Callithrix jacchus: one gene and its partners. The protein of the gene in region 1 interacts with the protein of each later gene in a pairwise test. Links are inferred from orthologs where the notes say so. Each region holds a gene or a part of one and is shown in the gene's direction. Other genes may lie near its edges.

Region 1 (5,066 bases):
CTCAGACAGGCTGGGCGTGGTGGCTCAAGCCTGTAATTCCAGCACTTTGGGAGGCTGAGGCGGGTGGATCACGAGGTCAAGAGATCGAGACCATCCTGGTCAACATGGTGAAACCCCATCTCTACTAAAAATACAAAAAATTAGCTGGGCATGGTGGCGCATGCCTGTAATCCCAGCTACTTAGGAGGCTGAGGCAGAAGAATTGCCTGAACCCAGGAGGCGGAGGTTGCGGTGAGCTGAGATCGCGCCATGGCACTCCAGCCTGGGTAACAAGAGCAAAACTCCATCTCAAAAAAAAAAAAAAAAAAAAAAAAACAAATCTCAGACATAATTTAATAAATATTTAAGTGTTTTTTCTAAAAGGTAAGAATTGTGTTAAGTCATAACTCTAATTTTATCATCACATAATTTGGAGTAGTAATTGTAATGTTTGGATATATACATTATATATGACAATTTAAACTTTTAAAAATCATTAAAGATTGGTGTTACTTCTGCAAAGTTACTGTGAGTATGTTTAAAATAATCGTGGGAGGATCTTCTCAGCCCAAAAGCTTCTTAAGCTGATAAGGAACTTCAGTAAAATCTCAGAATACAAAATTAATGTGTAAAAATTGCTAACATTTTTATACACCAACAATAGTCAAGTCGAAAACTAATCACAAACTCCCATTCACAATTGCCACAAAAAGAATAAAATACCTAGAAATATAGCTAACAAGGGAGGTGGAAGATCTCTACAGGAACTATCAAACATTGCTCAAAGAAATCAGCGATGAAACAAACACATGGAAAAACATTTTATGCTCATGGGTAGGAAGAATCGGTATTGCTAAAATGACCATACTGCCCAAAGCAATTTATAGATTCACTCCTATTACCATTAAACTATCGTTGACATTCTTCACAGAACTAAAGAAAACTATTGTAAAATTTATATGAAACCAAAAAGAGCCCGAATAGCCAAGACAATCCTAGGGAGAAAGAACAAAGCTAGAGGCATCATGCTACCCAACTTCAAACTATACTACAGGGCTACAGTAACCAAAACAGCATAGTACAAAAACAGACTCATAGACCAATGGAAGAGAATAGAGAACCCAGAAATAAGACCGCACACCTGCAACTATCTGATCTTCAACAAATCCGATGAAAACAAACAATGGGGAAAGGTTTCCCTATTTAATAAATGGTGCTGGGATAACTGGCTAGTCATATACAGAAGATTGAAACTAGACCCTTTCCTTACACCATATACAAAAATCGACTCAAGATGGATTAAAGATATAAGTATAAAACCCAAAACTATAAAAACTCTGGAAGACAACCTAGGCAATACCACTCAGGACATAGGCATAGGCAATGATTTCTTGATGAAGATGCCAAAGGCAATTCCAACAAAAGCAAAAGTTAGCAAATGGGATTTAATTAAACTAAAAAGCTTCTACACAGCAAAAGAAACTGTCAGCCAAGTAAACAGACACCCTCCAAAGTGGGAGAAAATTTTTGCAAACTTATATCTGACAAAGGCCTAATGTCCAGCATCTATAAAGAATTTAAGCAAATTTATAAGAAAAAAACAACCTCATTAAAAAGTGGAAAAAGGATATGAACATATACTTCTCAAAAGAAGGCATACATGTAGCCAATAATCATATGGAAAAAAGCCCAACATCACTGATCATTAGAAAAATGCAAATCACAACCGCAATGAGATACTATCTCATGCTTCTCACAATGACTATGATTAAAAAGTCAAAAAAACAACAACAGATGCTTGTGAGGTTGTGGAGAAAAAGGAAAAGTTATACGCTGTTGGTGGGAGTGTAAGTTAGTTCAACTACTGTGGAAGATAATATGGCAAGTCCTCAAAGACCTAAAGACAGAAATACCATTTGACCCATCAGTCTGATTACTTGGTATATACTCAAGAGAATATAAATTGTTCTGTTGTAAAGACACATGTATGCATATGTTCATTGCAGCACTATTCAAAATAGCAAACATAAATGCAATAGCAGAGACATCGAATCAACCTAAATGCCCATCAATGATAGAGCAGATAAAGAAGATGTGGTACATACACACTGTGGAATACTCTATAGCCATAAAAATTAATGAGATCATGTCCTTCGCAGGGACATGGATGGAACTAGAGGTTCTTATCCTTAGCAAACTAATGCAGAAACAGAAAACCAAATACTGCTTGTTCTCACTTATAAGTGGGAGCGAAATAATGAGAACCCATGGACATATGGAGGGAAACAACACATATTGGGGCCTTTCAGAGGGTGGAGGGTAGGAGGGAGTTCAGGAAAAATAACTAATGAGTACTAAGCTTAATACCTGGGTGATGAAATAATCTGCATAACAAACCCTCTTGACACAAATTTACTTGTGAAACAAACTTGCACATGTACCCCTGAACTTAAAAGTTTAAAAAAATAAAAATTGTGGGAGGAAAACATTGAAGTATTTCCTGCATATTTTTGCCTATGCAGAAAAAAGCTGTGGTGATTCGTCACTTGTATATTGAAGATAATGTTAACATTCCGGAGGATACGTTAAGTGCAGTAACAGAGGTTAATGAAGCAGTTACTGCGTCTGACTTAAATGCTGCCGAAATAAAGATGCCTGAAATAAAGGTTCCTGAAATCGAGGCTGAGCGACAGGTAACAATTTCGGACTTTTTAAATAGATACGAATATTTCTTACTTAAATATTTCTAGCCTCTAAACTTTGGAATATTTCTAGCCTTTTGAATTATTAATCATGATATTTTACCTATGTTACAATTACTTAGTAAGTCTTACTAAAAATAATTATTTGCTGGATATGTTTAGGGTGCTGGGCTAAGTGTTGGAGTAATGCAAAGTAGAATAATATATGGTACTTGGCTTTAAGGAATCTACAATTTAGTGAGACATTTTCTTTACCACCTATTTTCTTTACTGGTGAATGGAAAAGATTGGCACTTTATTGCCTATTCGTTTTCCTTTCTGGGTCCTGGCTATTCTTTTCTGCCTCTCTTAAGGTGCCATTTCTATTACTCTTGATTGCCACAGACCTCAATATATGTCTGATCTCTAATGTTCCTGCTAAAACTTCTTTTTCTATGCTTCGATGTCTTGTGACTTCTATAGATCTCAGTATATCAATATATAGTTGTCACTTACAGAAACTGCCAGATGGCCATTGGACCTACTTCCTGTTATATGGAAAACTGAACAATCTCAATTCACTAAGTGTTGTTTTTGGTCATTTCTTCTTAGCTTTGTGCTAGGTGTTGTTTCAAGAAGCTAGTTAATAATAGTTTTATTACCTGGTATTAAGAGAATTATGCAAATTAATTCATCACAAGAATCATATGAAGTAGATACTGCTCTTACCTCTCTGTTTCTTTTTTTTTAAGATGAGGAAATGGAGGCATCAAGGTCATAAATTTTCAGAACTAGTTTAAGTGGCCAAGTAGTCTCCATCCAGAGCTAACCCTCTTGACTCTCAAGCACAGGACTGTCTCTCCTAACTATTGAGATAACACAGTGGAAGTGGGAATACATTAATTTTAAAGGAAATTCAGTTTGTATAATTTTATTTTTAATCTCTCTAACCTTTTTAGGATATAAGTGTTAATCCTGAGATTACTGCACTACAGACTATGCTTGCTGAATGCCAAGAAAATCTTAAGAAACTAACTTTGATAGAGAAAAGGTTAGACTGTTTGGAACAAAAAATGAAAGGAAAAGTGATGGTGGATGAAAAGACATGGACGAATCTCCTTAGTCGTGTTACTCTTCTTGAAACAGAAATGCTTTTGTCTAAAAAGGTATTTTCTTCCTTTAACATGTATAAAATATCTCAGGTATAACAAAGTATTTCTTTGTTATATGTACGTTATTGGGGGAATGCTAAGTATGAGAATATTTCAGTGATGAGTAAATGCCTAGTTAGAATGAATTCCTGTTTAAATATAGCCTGTATGTTATTGTGGCTATTTCTCTCTTCATTGAATAAGGTAATCTGAAAAACTTGTAAGTTGAACTTTTACAGATAATAATAATACTTGAAGAACTTAAAATAAGGGAAGAATATGATAGATTTTATGAAAAGCCTAATATTATTTTATATCTTTTAATAGTACAGATGACCTATTTTCATAGAGTAGAAAAGATACAGAAGATATTGATAACTTTTTTCTTTTTTTCTCTCATTTACTTCAATCATATTGTGAATTTCATAGACAAGTTACGAAATTTACCATTGCCTTATCAAATCTGAGGAATTTGTTTCTTTTTCTCAGGATTTCAATTTCTGGTCTGTCTTTCCTTCTTAGAAAGTAAAGTTGATAGATTCAAGAAGCTTGCTGTCTGCTTTTATATTTAAAACATTTCTTATATGTGGAACATACAGTATATGTATTGCTTTATAAATACAGAAATTAAAAATATTTAAACATTTATTATGCTATCTTTATATTTTATGCTTGGTATTAAGAATATAAAATGAGGGGTTTTCCTTTGGCTTCATTCTAAATATTTAACTGTTATTTCAGAGTGATGAGTTTAATGAAATTAGCGAAGACTACACTTCTTGTAGCAACATGAATCTTCTGAATCCTCGTAAGTTTGTAAATACTATTAGAATTTCTATAATGAGTTTTCAGAAAAATAATTATTATAGGTATTTGGTAATTTTAATATTCTTAATCCTTATTGTTTAGAAATTGCAAAGCTCTTAGAACAAAGAAAATAATGAACCTGCATACCTCCAAAGCCAAGAATTGCTTAAGAATCCAGCCTACTTATTTCACTTAATAGAGTGGGTGAATAAATTTTAGTGTACAAAATTGAAAAATTTTAGAGATATTTTATTGTCTCAATCATTTTAGAATAATCTAGTGCTCTAGAATATTAAAATTGGCCTCCAACTTTTAAAATTTAAGCTTAGGTAGGTAGTAGCTTTCTCATATGCAAATAATAATATGGAAGAGAAGAAAACACCTTTGTCAGTAACCTATAAAGTATTGCAAACTTCTTACATGTGAATAGTTCACTGATAATGAGAAA
Region 2 (5,531 bases), on another chromosome or scaffold:
ACCTTTTTGAGCCTTAGTTCCATCATTATACTAAAGTTGAATATCCCTTATCCAACATACGTCGGACCAGAAGTGTTTCGAATTTGGGATTTTCTCAGATTTTACCGGTTAAGCATCCCTAATCTGAAAATCCAAAATGCACTGCTTTTAAGTCTGTCACTGAGCCTTTGGGGGAAATATTTAATATCCTAACAGCCCTAAACCAATGCTCAATTAGTACAACAATTTACAATCTTCTCTACCCACAGCCTGATGCTAGGCTCTGGGACTAGAATATTTCACCAACAGTTCTTGCAAAATTCACTGACTTGTAAGCAAATATTAATTTCAACACCTCACTGCTAATGCTGTAACAGAACTCTGCAGACCTAGGGAGCAAGTACAGATTGCAGAGCACTGGGAAGGCTCTGCAGTGACCTTTGAACTGGGCCTCAAAAGATTTTAAGTTTGACAAAAGCCAAACCTCTTATGCTTCAAATTCCAGGCACAAAGATTGTTGGGTTTGATTTCATTATCCAGAGGCAACGGGGATACAGAATTTCTGATCTCACGTGTAGAGAATTGTGTTTTTTTTCTACTTTAAACCCAGTGAGACTTTAGTAGACAGTGGGGCAGTCAGAGAAAAGGCTCTAGAATATGCCTGAAGCCTTAACTCAGCACCTTCCTGAGGAATTGACTGCCAAATGGTAAAGGAGAGGGGAAAATATGACCTATGTTCACAAGTTACCTTGACTGCCTCTGGAAAACCTGCTGTGGTGGTGTTTCTTCTGGGTAAAAGACAAGGTAGGCCGGGAGTGGTGGCTCACGCCTATAAACCCAGCACTTTGGGAGGTCAAGGCGGGTGGATCACGAGGTCAAGAGATCGAGACCATCCTGGTCAACATGGTGAAACCCCGTCTCTACTAAAAATACAAAAATTAGCTGGGCATGGTGGGGCGCGCCTGTTGTCCCAGCTACTCGGGAGGCTGAGGCAGGAGAATTGCTTGAACCTAGAAGGCGGAGGTTGCGGTGAACCGAGATCGCGCCATTGCACTCCAGCCTGGGTAACAAGAGTGAAACTCCGTCTCAAAAAAAAAGAAAAAGGGAAGCCGAGAAGTTACCTGGGTGCTGGTGTCAGAGTTAACAATTCTGAATCCGTTTTAACCACTCACTATCGATGTAACCTTGGAGAAGTTACCCAGCCTTTCTCTTTACTGTCCTTTTCCGTAAAATGGCGCTAACAGTACTTACTTCAATGAGTGCTTATGAGAATGAAGCTATTAGATACCGGAAAGCACACAGTAAGCGCTCAAGGAAATTATTGTTATTAAACACCTCCTTGGGAAGAAGGACATTAAGGCCCAGGGAGCCACAGCAAATCCATGATGAAGCTGGGACTGGAGTAGGGGTCTCCTGGGCCTCATCCCAGGACTCTATCCCTCTTCCCGATTCGTCGGAATTCCTGGATGGAGTCACATTTGTTCAAGGCCAGGGAAGAAGGCTTGACGGAGGCCTGCAGGAAACAATGCTAGGCGCAAGGCTTTAGGAGCTGAGGCATAACTTCTGCGAGATAGAAACAAGGTTGACCTGGGCATTTGCGCGGAATGACGGGCTCTTTTTGGACTCCCAGAACTACTGCCCCGTCTGCACTTTGGGAGCTGCTGCCAGCCCCAGCGCACAGAGGGACGCGTAGTCCTTTCGCTGCCCCGCCCTCAGGTCCCGCCCGCCTCCAAGGCCGCCCTCGCTTCGTCCTTCCCAGCAAGCTCCGCGCCGGCGCCGGCTATTGATTGGCTGCGGCGGGTGCAGGCTGCTCGCCGGCAGTGGTTACTCGGGGTTTCCGGTGGAGGCCAGAGCTGGAGAAGCCGTCGGACGTCGGTTGTGAGGTGCGTGCCGCGGCGACCGGTGGGAGAGACAATCGGAGGGTGTACGGGCCGGGATGTTCTCGGCCTGTGGGGAAATCACGGCGACTCCGCGCGTGGGCCGGGGGGCTGTCTAGGGCGTGTGCGCATGCGCGGGCGTGCCTCGCGGCTGGAGGGCGCGCGGGGCGTGGGTGGCTGCGCGCGCGGGGGGCGCACGTGGGTCCTGAGGGGCGGGGGCGGCGCCGCGACTCCTGCGCCCCGCCACGTCAGTCTCCGGCCCCGAGCCAATCCCGCTCTCGGCCTGCCGTGAGGGGGTTGGTTGTGCTGGGAAGTGGCTCCGAGAAGAAAAAGAGGCCTCTTTCCTCTTCCGTTGCGCTGCGAAAGCCTGCTACGGCACACCGGGCTCCCCTGACCCGCCAAGACCGGAGAGCCGTTGGCGCCCTCCGCCGGGGCCGGCCGGTCCGTTTAAGAAGCTTTGGGCGCCTGCTGTGGGGATTTCTGATCCAGACTGCGAAGAATTTCGAAGTCTGAAAAATTGCAACTGTGTTTGTTTCTAAAGGATCTCCTTCTGACCCAGCATCGCTCATCACAATGAAGAACCAAGACAAAAAGAACGGGGCTGCCAAACAATCCAACCCAAAAAGCAGCCCGGGACAACCGGAAGCGGTACCCGAGGGAACCCAGGAGCGGCCCAGCCAGGCGGCTCCTGCGGCAGAAGCTGAAGGTCCCGGCAGCGGGCAGGCTCCTCGGAAGCCGGAGGGTGTGTGCCAGCTCTGCATTGCCAGCGGGCAGGGGGAGGAGCTGTGCGCCTGGCCTCACTTCTGGATTTAGAGGCCGAGGCCAGGTTGTGCAGAGGAGGAGATGTAGAATGAGAGGGCAGTGCTGGGGCCGCGGTCCTTCCGGCGCCCTGGCGAGTTGGTGAGCACAGGAACAGAGTTCTCTTCTCTGGAGAGAAGCTCTGACAGGATTAAGTCAGGTGGCAGCCAAACGAGGCACCCAGTCAGGAAATCCAGGTCCTGTTAGAAACACCTCAGCCACCAACAGCTAACTGCCCTTCCTGGATTGAGGCATTTCTAGAACAATCTGAATGGCAAGAAGTGGTTGGTGAGGGGGGAAGGAGATGGACTAGAAGTTGCTTCATGCCAGCCCTGTGTGCTGATGCTTTACATACTTTTATGTTTGTAACCAACATGTTCGGGTGATAGTAAGAAATAGTTGTGTCATTTTACAAGTAAATAGACTTAAAGAGGTTGAGCATCCATTACCTGAGTCTGGCAAGAAAAAAAAAAAAGTTGCCGGGCACAGTGGCTCACACCTGTAATCCTAACACTTTGGGAGGCTGAGACGGGCAGTTCACCTGAGGTCAGGAGCTCAAGACCAGCATGACCTATACGGTGAAACCTCATCTTAAAAAAAAAAAAAGTTAAGCAACGATGACTATAATTTCTTTTAAAAGATGTTTCGAGGCTGGACATGGTGGCTCACGCCTGTAATCCCAGCACTTTGGGAGGCCAAGGCAGGTGAATCACCTGAGGTCAGGAGTTTGAGACCAGCCTGACCTCCATGTTGGAGAAACCCTGTCTCTACTAAAAATACAACAATTAGCTAGGTGTGGTAGTGCATGCCTATAATCTCAGCTACTCGGGAGACTGAGTCAGGAGAATCGCTTGAACCTGGGAGGCAGAGGTTGCAGTGAACTGAGATTGCATCATTGCACTCCAGCCTGGGTGACAGAGTGAGACTCCATCTGGAAAAAAAAAAAAAAAGTTTTGAATCTAAATTCTGACAGGAACTAGATTTGCTGTCTTCTTTCTCATTCTTTCCTGCTTTAGGGGCACAAGCCAAAACAGCTCAATCTGGGGCCCTCCGTGATGTCTCTGAGGAGCTGAGCCGCCAATTGGAAGACATACTGAGCACATACTGTGTGGACAATAACCAGGGGGGCCCAGGCGAGGATGGGGCACAGGGTGAGCCGGAAGATGCAGAGAAGTCCCGGACCTATGTGGCAAGGAATGGGGAGCCTGAGCCATCTCCAGTAGTCAATGGAGAAAAGGTACCCTCCAAGGGGGAGCCAGGCACAGAAGAGATCCGGCCGAGTGATGATGTGGGAGACCGAGACCACCGAAGGCCACAGGAGAAGAAAAAAGCCAAGGGTTTGGGTGAGCAGAGAGTGGCTCTTTGTGCAGCTGGTGAGGGGAGGGAATTTGGACTTGATGTTCTCTGGGCAAGTCTGTTCTGCCAGGATTCAGAGGAAATGGTACTTCTCAGAGCAGCAAGTCACCCTAGTCTAATCAAAGCCAGGGATGTGGGAGTCACACATAGAAAGATGCAGGGGTTTCCAGCACAAGGTCTTCTGGCTTTTGGAGCAACGGGAGGTTGATGTGTGACCTGCTCTTTGAGACAATGGAGAGCAGGAGGTCCGGGTAGCCTCCTGTGCCAGCCAGTACTACCTGCCTTGTGACCTTGGGTGTGCCCCTTCTCCTCTCTGGGTCCTAGTTTCTACTTCTGTTTACAGTAAGAAAATCAGACTAGCCCAGAGTTGGAAACCCAAATGTCTACATAAGCTGGGCTGCCTATGGGGCTCCATGAAGATAGAGCCTACTTTAGCCAAAGGCTTTATTGCTATTTAGTTAGTTGCTCTTAACTAGGCAGCAGCCAGCCTTTTTTTTTTTTTTTTTTTTTTTTTTTAAGAAAAGCCAGAAATCTAGATCTCTAGATTTTTTCATAGTTAGCAGCTAAAATGGTAGGAGCCAAACAAAACCCATCCGTGGGTTGGATTTGGCATGCATGCCAGTGAATTGCAGTCTCTGTGCTGATCTCTTGGGCCCTTCTGGGGAGGCAGAGGGAAGGCTCCCTGACTCAGGCACACAGAGTGGGAAATAGGCAGTGACAGTCATTTGATGGTAAGGTATATATGTTTTAAGAATTTAGGTCAGGCATGGTGGCTCACGCCTGTAATAGCAGCACTTTAGAAGGCCAAGATGGGTGGATCACCTGAGGGTCAGGAGTTCAAGACCAGCCTGGCCAACATGATGAAACCCCATCTCTACTAAAAATACAAAAAGTAGCTGGGCATGGTAATGCACGCCTGTAATCCCAGCTACTTGGGAGGCTGAGGCAGGATAATGGCTTGAACCCGGGAGGCAGAGGTTGCAGTGAGCCGAGATCCTGCCATTGAACTCCAGCCTAGGTAACAGGGTGAGACTCCATCTCAAAAAAAAAAAAAAATCTTAGGATCACATATATGGAAAGTATCTTCATTTTAAAATTCGAGGTTTGTCTACTCTGTTGATAAGAGTTTAGTGTTTCTCAAGGAGGCTAAGATACTTACTCCTTTTTGGATCCTACCTCTATCAAGAGGGTGGGCCTTCCTTGCATTGAAACAGTAGCCCTGAAATCATAAGTGGGACACACTTCATCTGTTGGTAAAGCAGGCAGTTTTTTTCCTCCCACCATGGTGCCCAATAAGGAGATTTCACTAGGGTCCAGTCATTCATTTGATGAGCATTTGTTGAACATATGCTCTGTGATGGTACTATGACAGTACTGGGGCTACAGTGAGGAAAGGATTGAGTTGGTCCCTATAGCAAGGAAGGTAGCTAATCAACAAGCAAAATATAGGGCTATCTTTAGCACTCATGAGTGTGAGCCCAGGCCTGGAGGGGACCCCTGGAGAAGAGGGTGCATGTCTTT
Region 3 (4,062 bases), on another chromosome or scaffold:
TTCTGCATTTTAAAGCTACCAAGTTTATGGCAATTCATTATAGCAGCCATCGGGATCTATTACAATTTTGGTCCCTGGAAGTGGGTTGCTGCTATAACAAATATCTAAAAAGTTTGAAGGGGCTTTGCAATGGGAAAATATCTATGGACTGAATAAATTTCAGGAGCATTATAGAACAACTCTAGATTACGTTGAGCAGACCATTAGTAGAAATAGGAATATTCAAAGCACTCCTAGTGAGAGCTCAGATATGAGGAGCACAGTAGAGAATGCCTATGTTATCCTAGAGAACACCTAAATGATCGTAAACAAGCTATTGATAGAAATATAAATGTTAAAGGTGTTGCTGGTGAAGGCTTAGAAAGAAATTAGTAACATAATATTGGAAAAGGGAGTTTGTGTTATACAGCAGCAGAAATCTTAGCTGAATTATGCCCTATAATTATGTGGAAAGCATGACTTGTAAGCAATGAACTTGAATATTTAGCTGAGCAGATTTTCATGCAAAGGACTAAAGTAATGGCCTGGTTGTTGTTGTTGTTGTTGTTGTTGTTGTTGTTGTTGTTTTTTACTGCTGCTTATAGTAAAATGCTAGAGGAAAGACATAAAGTGAGGGAAGAACTGTTAAGCAAAAAGAAACCAGGATTTAATGATATAAGAAATTTTCAGCCTATCCAGATTGCAAAAGACACCAAAATTAGTGAATTCACTGCCATGAAATCATCCTACAGAAATAAAATCAAAGGCATGGCTAGCCATTCTTTTGTTAGTGCCTTTAAGGGATGAAAAGACCAAAGTATTCAATCACACAGATGATGTTTTGAAGAGATATGGGGTGTGCTTCTCAAATATGCAAGGAATAGAGACGGAATTTTCTGAGAGATCTGTGAAGAAGACTCTGTCTAATGGCATGAATCCTCATGACATACATAAAACACATGTAAGTTTTTGAGAATGTTATATCAGCAGAAACAATGCCAGCTTAGACTGAAAGAAAGAAATAGAGCAAGAAATGAAAGAAGGCTATAGGACTCCCAAAATTTGACAGGAGAAAGCAGGCTGATAAAACTACTCGGCTGTAAACACATGCTACCATTCAAAATAAAGGAAAAATGACTGAGGGCAGAACCAAGAGACCAGAGGGAAGATTTATTCCCCCAGGTGAAGTTACAGGATCAGAGTGATCAGAGGGAGGGGTCTCAAGCTGTAGACTATTCCCAGGCCTTGAAACCTAATGGTTAGATTTTGAAATTGTTTGGATTTGAGACTATTTTCTTTCCACTATTTCCCTTGTGAAATGGCAAAGTTATTGGCTGTAAATGAACAAAACTCAAAGGGAAAACACAGAATTAGCAGAGAGTAAAATTAAATAATAGAAAAGAAACAACTCTTAGTGCTTTGGCTTCACCTAGGAGAGACAAGAAATACACATCTGGGCTTAAACTGAGCACAAGATGCACTTCTCCATCAACTATGTTTACCTGGCACTGACAGGTATTGAGCATCTTATTATTAATTGCAAAATGATTAAAAAATATTTTTCAAATAGAGTAAAATCATGACACTCATACAGATATGAAATGAACATATACTAAAAGAAAAGGTTATTATAACAGGTTCAAAAGGGAAACCAAAGAATTGATATGGGAATATTCATCAGGAATATTAAATGATTGTGTGTAAATGGAGGTAAAATTGGTTTCATTAGGTGAAGGACAACTGAACCTCTACTGAAGAATATATCATCCATGTATCTGTGGCCTACAAGTAACAAAAACCTATGCAAGATTTCAGAGATAATGTAAGGCTAGAATCAGATAATTTGCAATGATGTCCTAAAGATAGAGCAAAGTTTTCCACTGAAACACACATTTATTTTTACAATGTCAAAATCAGATAAAAAGTTATAGTTCTCTCAAAATCAGGATTCAGTCATTAGGGTGACTAGGTCAGTGTCACAGACATTTCTAGGCTGAGGTCTGCTCAGGGAAATTCCAAAGTCTAGGATGTCACAAAGGCAGCTAGCTCCCTGACCAATCAGGGCCTGGAGCAGAGAGATACAATGGGCAGGACTAAGTGCCAGTGTCCTTGGAGACCTGCTCAAGCAGGAGAATCAAGCATAGCTCAGCAGAGCCAGACCAAGCAAACATAATGTCAGAAACAGAAAACTGTAAGAACTCCCCTACAAATAACAATCAGAATCAAGAACCTTCAAGAAATGAGCCACAGGTCCCTAGGACCTTCGTTGACCGCCTTCTTCAGGATGAACGAGATGCCCAAAGCCAGACTTCCTCCATGATAAATAGCCTCCTTACCTTGCTCGATTGCCTTGGTGACTTCATCATGGAGCAGGTAGGCCTGGAGGCCAGCCACAATGACAGTATGAACAACACTTCACAAGATGCGGAGAGAGAAGTGGACAACAACCGTGAGCCCCACTGCCTCGAGAGCGATATAACCTGCTTTCTGTTGGATGGGATGCCCAAATCCGAGAAGAATGGCTGAAGACCGAGTTCCAAAGCCTGGAAGGGATCCTCTCAGGCTTAACCAGGGCAAAAACATATCATAGCTGAGGAATCCCTGCTGTTGTCATCAACAAGTGCTATTAAAGGATGTAAATCCGTGAGTATGTTTCTGACTCCACTTAGTTTCCGTCACTTTGGGTTGGAGGTGTTTGTGAGACATCTAGGAGAAGCTATTCCTAGAGAGCTGAAGGGGTGTAGGGGTGGCCAGTGTGGGGAGTTTTGAATTAATGATTTTAGAGGGGGCAGTCTCCAATAGTGACTATGAGGTCACTGGCCTTTTGGGGAGGAACTGGCTGGGGTAGACACAGAGACTTCCTCATTGCCTTGGAACAGGAAGGCCTTGTGAGGCCAGGGGGTTGGCTGGGGACCTCTGAGGCTTGTTGAATTCCCAGCCTGATGCTGGGGCCTGGGGTGGAGCTGCAATCTCTGACTGAGGTGCTGGAGGCTTCATTCAGGATAGCAAAGGTCTGAAGTCAGATGGCGGCGGTCACAGAGGTGGATGGAGAGGGGGCACACTGGCTGGCATGAACTTAATGGGACAGGGGCTTTACATAGACATTGAGGAGTGAAGGAAAAACCATCACGAAAAATGCATAAAAGAAATGATGGCCTGCTGGATTGCATTTCTTATTTCTTTATACCCTCCCTCATTATGAAAGAGGACTTCAGGCAGGGATTCGTAGCTACTGCTGTGAATATATCTTTCTGTCCTCTCTTCAGGACACTGGTAAACTAAATCGTAAGATTACATAGAACCTATGATCTGGCATAAAATGGGCAATTCAAGAAGATTTTAACGGGTGTTAATTATTGATTAATCTGCTTAGTTATAAATGTATTTCATTTAAAGCAGGATTAACAATCTCATTTTTAAATTAAATACCTATTCATTGTAATGACCATATATTGCATAGAACACCAAAGAATTATCAGTGACCGAATAGAGGTTTAAAGAGGTATAGATATAATTCTGTCCCAAGCAATGGCCTCTAAAGCACAGGCAATCCTTCTCAAAACTTCCTGCTCTGTGCTAAGTTTAAAAAAGGTGTCACATCAGGTGTTGAAGCCATATGTCCCCTTGCCCATGGTTGTCCACATGTTAGGTTTTCACCTGGTCCTTGGGTCCTCTGGGGCCACAGTCTGCTGCCTGCTGGTGTTTCACAGATGGTTGGTCAGGGGCTGCCCAGCCGGTTTCAAAAACGGGAGCTGAGTGCCTGGTTTCAGATCCCAGTTCGCCACTTTTTGGCCATGTGATGATACTGGACCTTCATTTCCTCCCTCTGAGCTGATCTCTTCATGTGTAAATGGGGTAATAAGAGTTCCTCCATATGTGTCTTTTTCTGGGATTGAGCCCAGTTGGGGCTGTAAACTGCTGCTCTACACAGTGCATGCACAGGGTCGCCCTTCATAAACAGCTGCATCTGCCTCCTTCCCTAACAGCAGACTCACAGGTGGGCTTCCCCAAGGTGCAGTGGGCCTGGTTCTCAGGTGACCGCTGGGCACATAGGTCACTGGCTGTGAGAACGACATCCTGCTT

Evidence for each region.
Region 2: the proteins of CEP44 (region 1) and TXLNA interact in binary tests that used the Homo sapiens proteins (3 or more experiments, as listed by UniProt). The two-hybrid records come from large-scale screens. The link is inferred for Callithrix jacchus from reciprocal best matches to the Homo sapiens genes CEP44 and TXLNA.
Region 3: the proteins of CEP44 (region 1) and H2AP interact in binary tests that used the Homo sapiens proteins (3 or more experiments, as listed by UniProt). The two-hybrid records come from large-scale screens. The link is inferred for Callithrix jacchus from reciprocal best matches to the Homo sapiens genes CEP44 and H2AP.

The regions. Positions count from the first base shown.
Region 1 is NC_133504.1:16,816,616-16,821,681, reverse strand, and holds part of CEP44 (centrosomal protein of 44 kDa), read left to right. Parts: intron 1-2,501; coding exon 2,502-2,672; intron 2,673-3,619; coding exon 3,620-3,826; intron 3,827-4,552; coding exon 4,553-4,619; intron 4,620-5,066. UniProt on the Homo sapiens protein: Centriole-enriched microtubule-binding protein involved in centriole biogenesis. In collaboration with CEP295 and POC1B, is required for the centriole-to-centrosome conversion by ensuring the formation of bona fide centriole wall.
Region 2 is NC_133508.1:68,784,620-68,790,150, forward strand, and holds the start of TXLNA (alpha-taxilin), read left to right. Parts: upstream 1-1,795; 5' UTR 1,796-1,862; intron 1,863-2,397; 5' UTR 2,398-2,429; coding exon 2,430-2,598; intron 2,599-3,670; coding exon 3,671-3,997; intron 3,998-5,531. UniProt on the Homo sapiens protein: May be involved in intracellular vesicle traffic and potentially in calcium-dependent exocytosis in neuroendocrine cells.
Region 3 is NC_133524.1:38,777,311-38,781,372, forward strand, and holds H2AP (huntingtin-interacting protein M), read left to right. Parts: upstream 1-2,090; 5' UTR 2,091-2,151; coding exon 2,152-2,505; 3' UTR 2,506-2,626; downstream 2,627-4,062.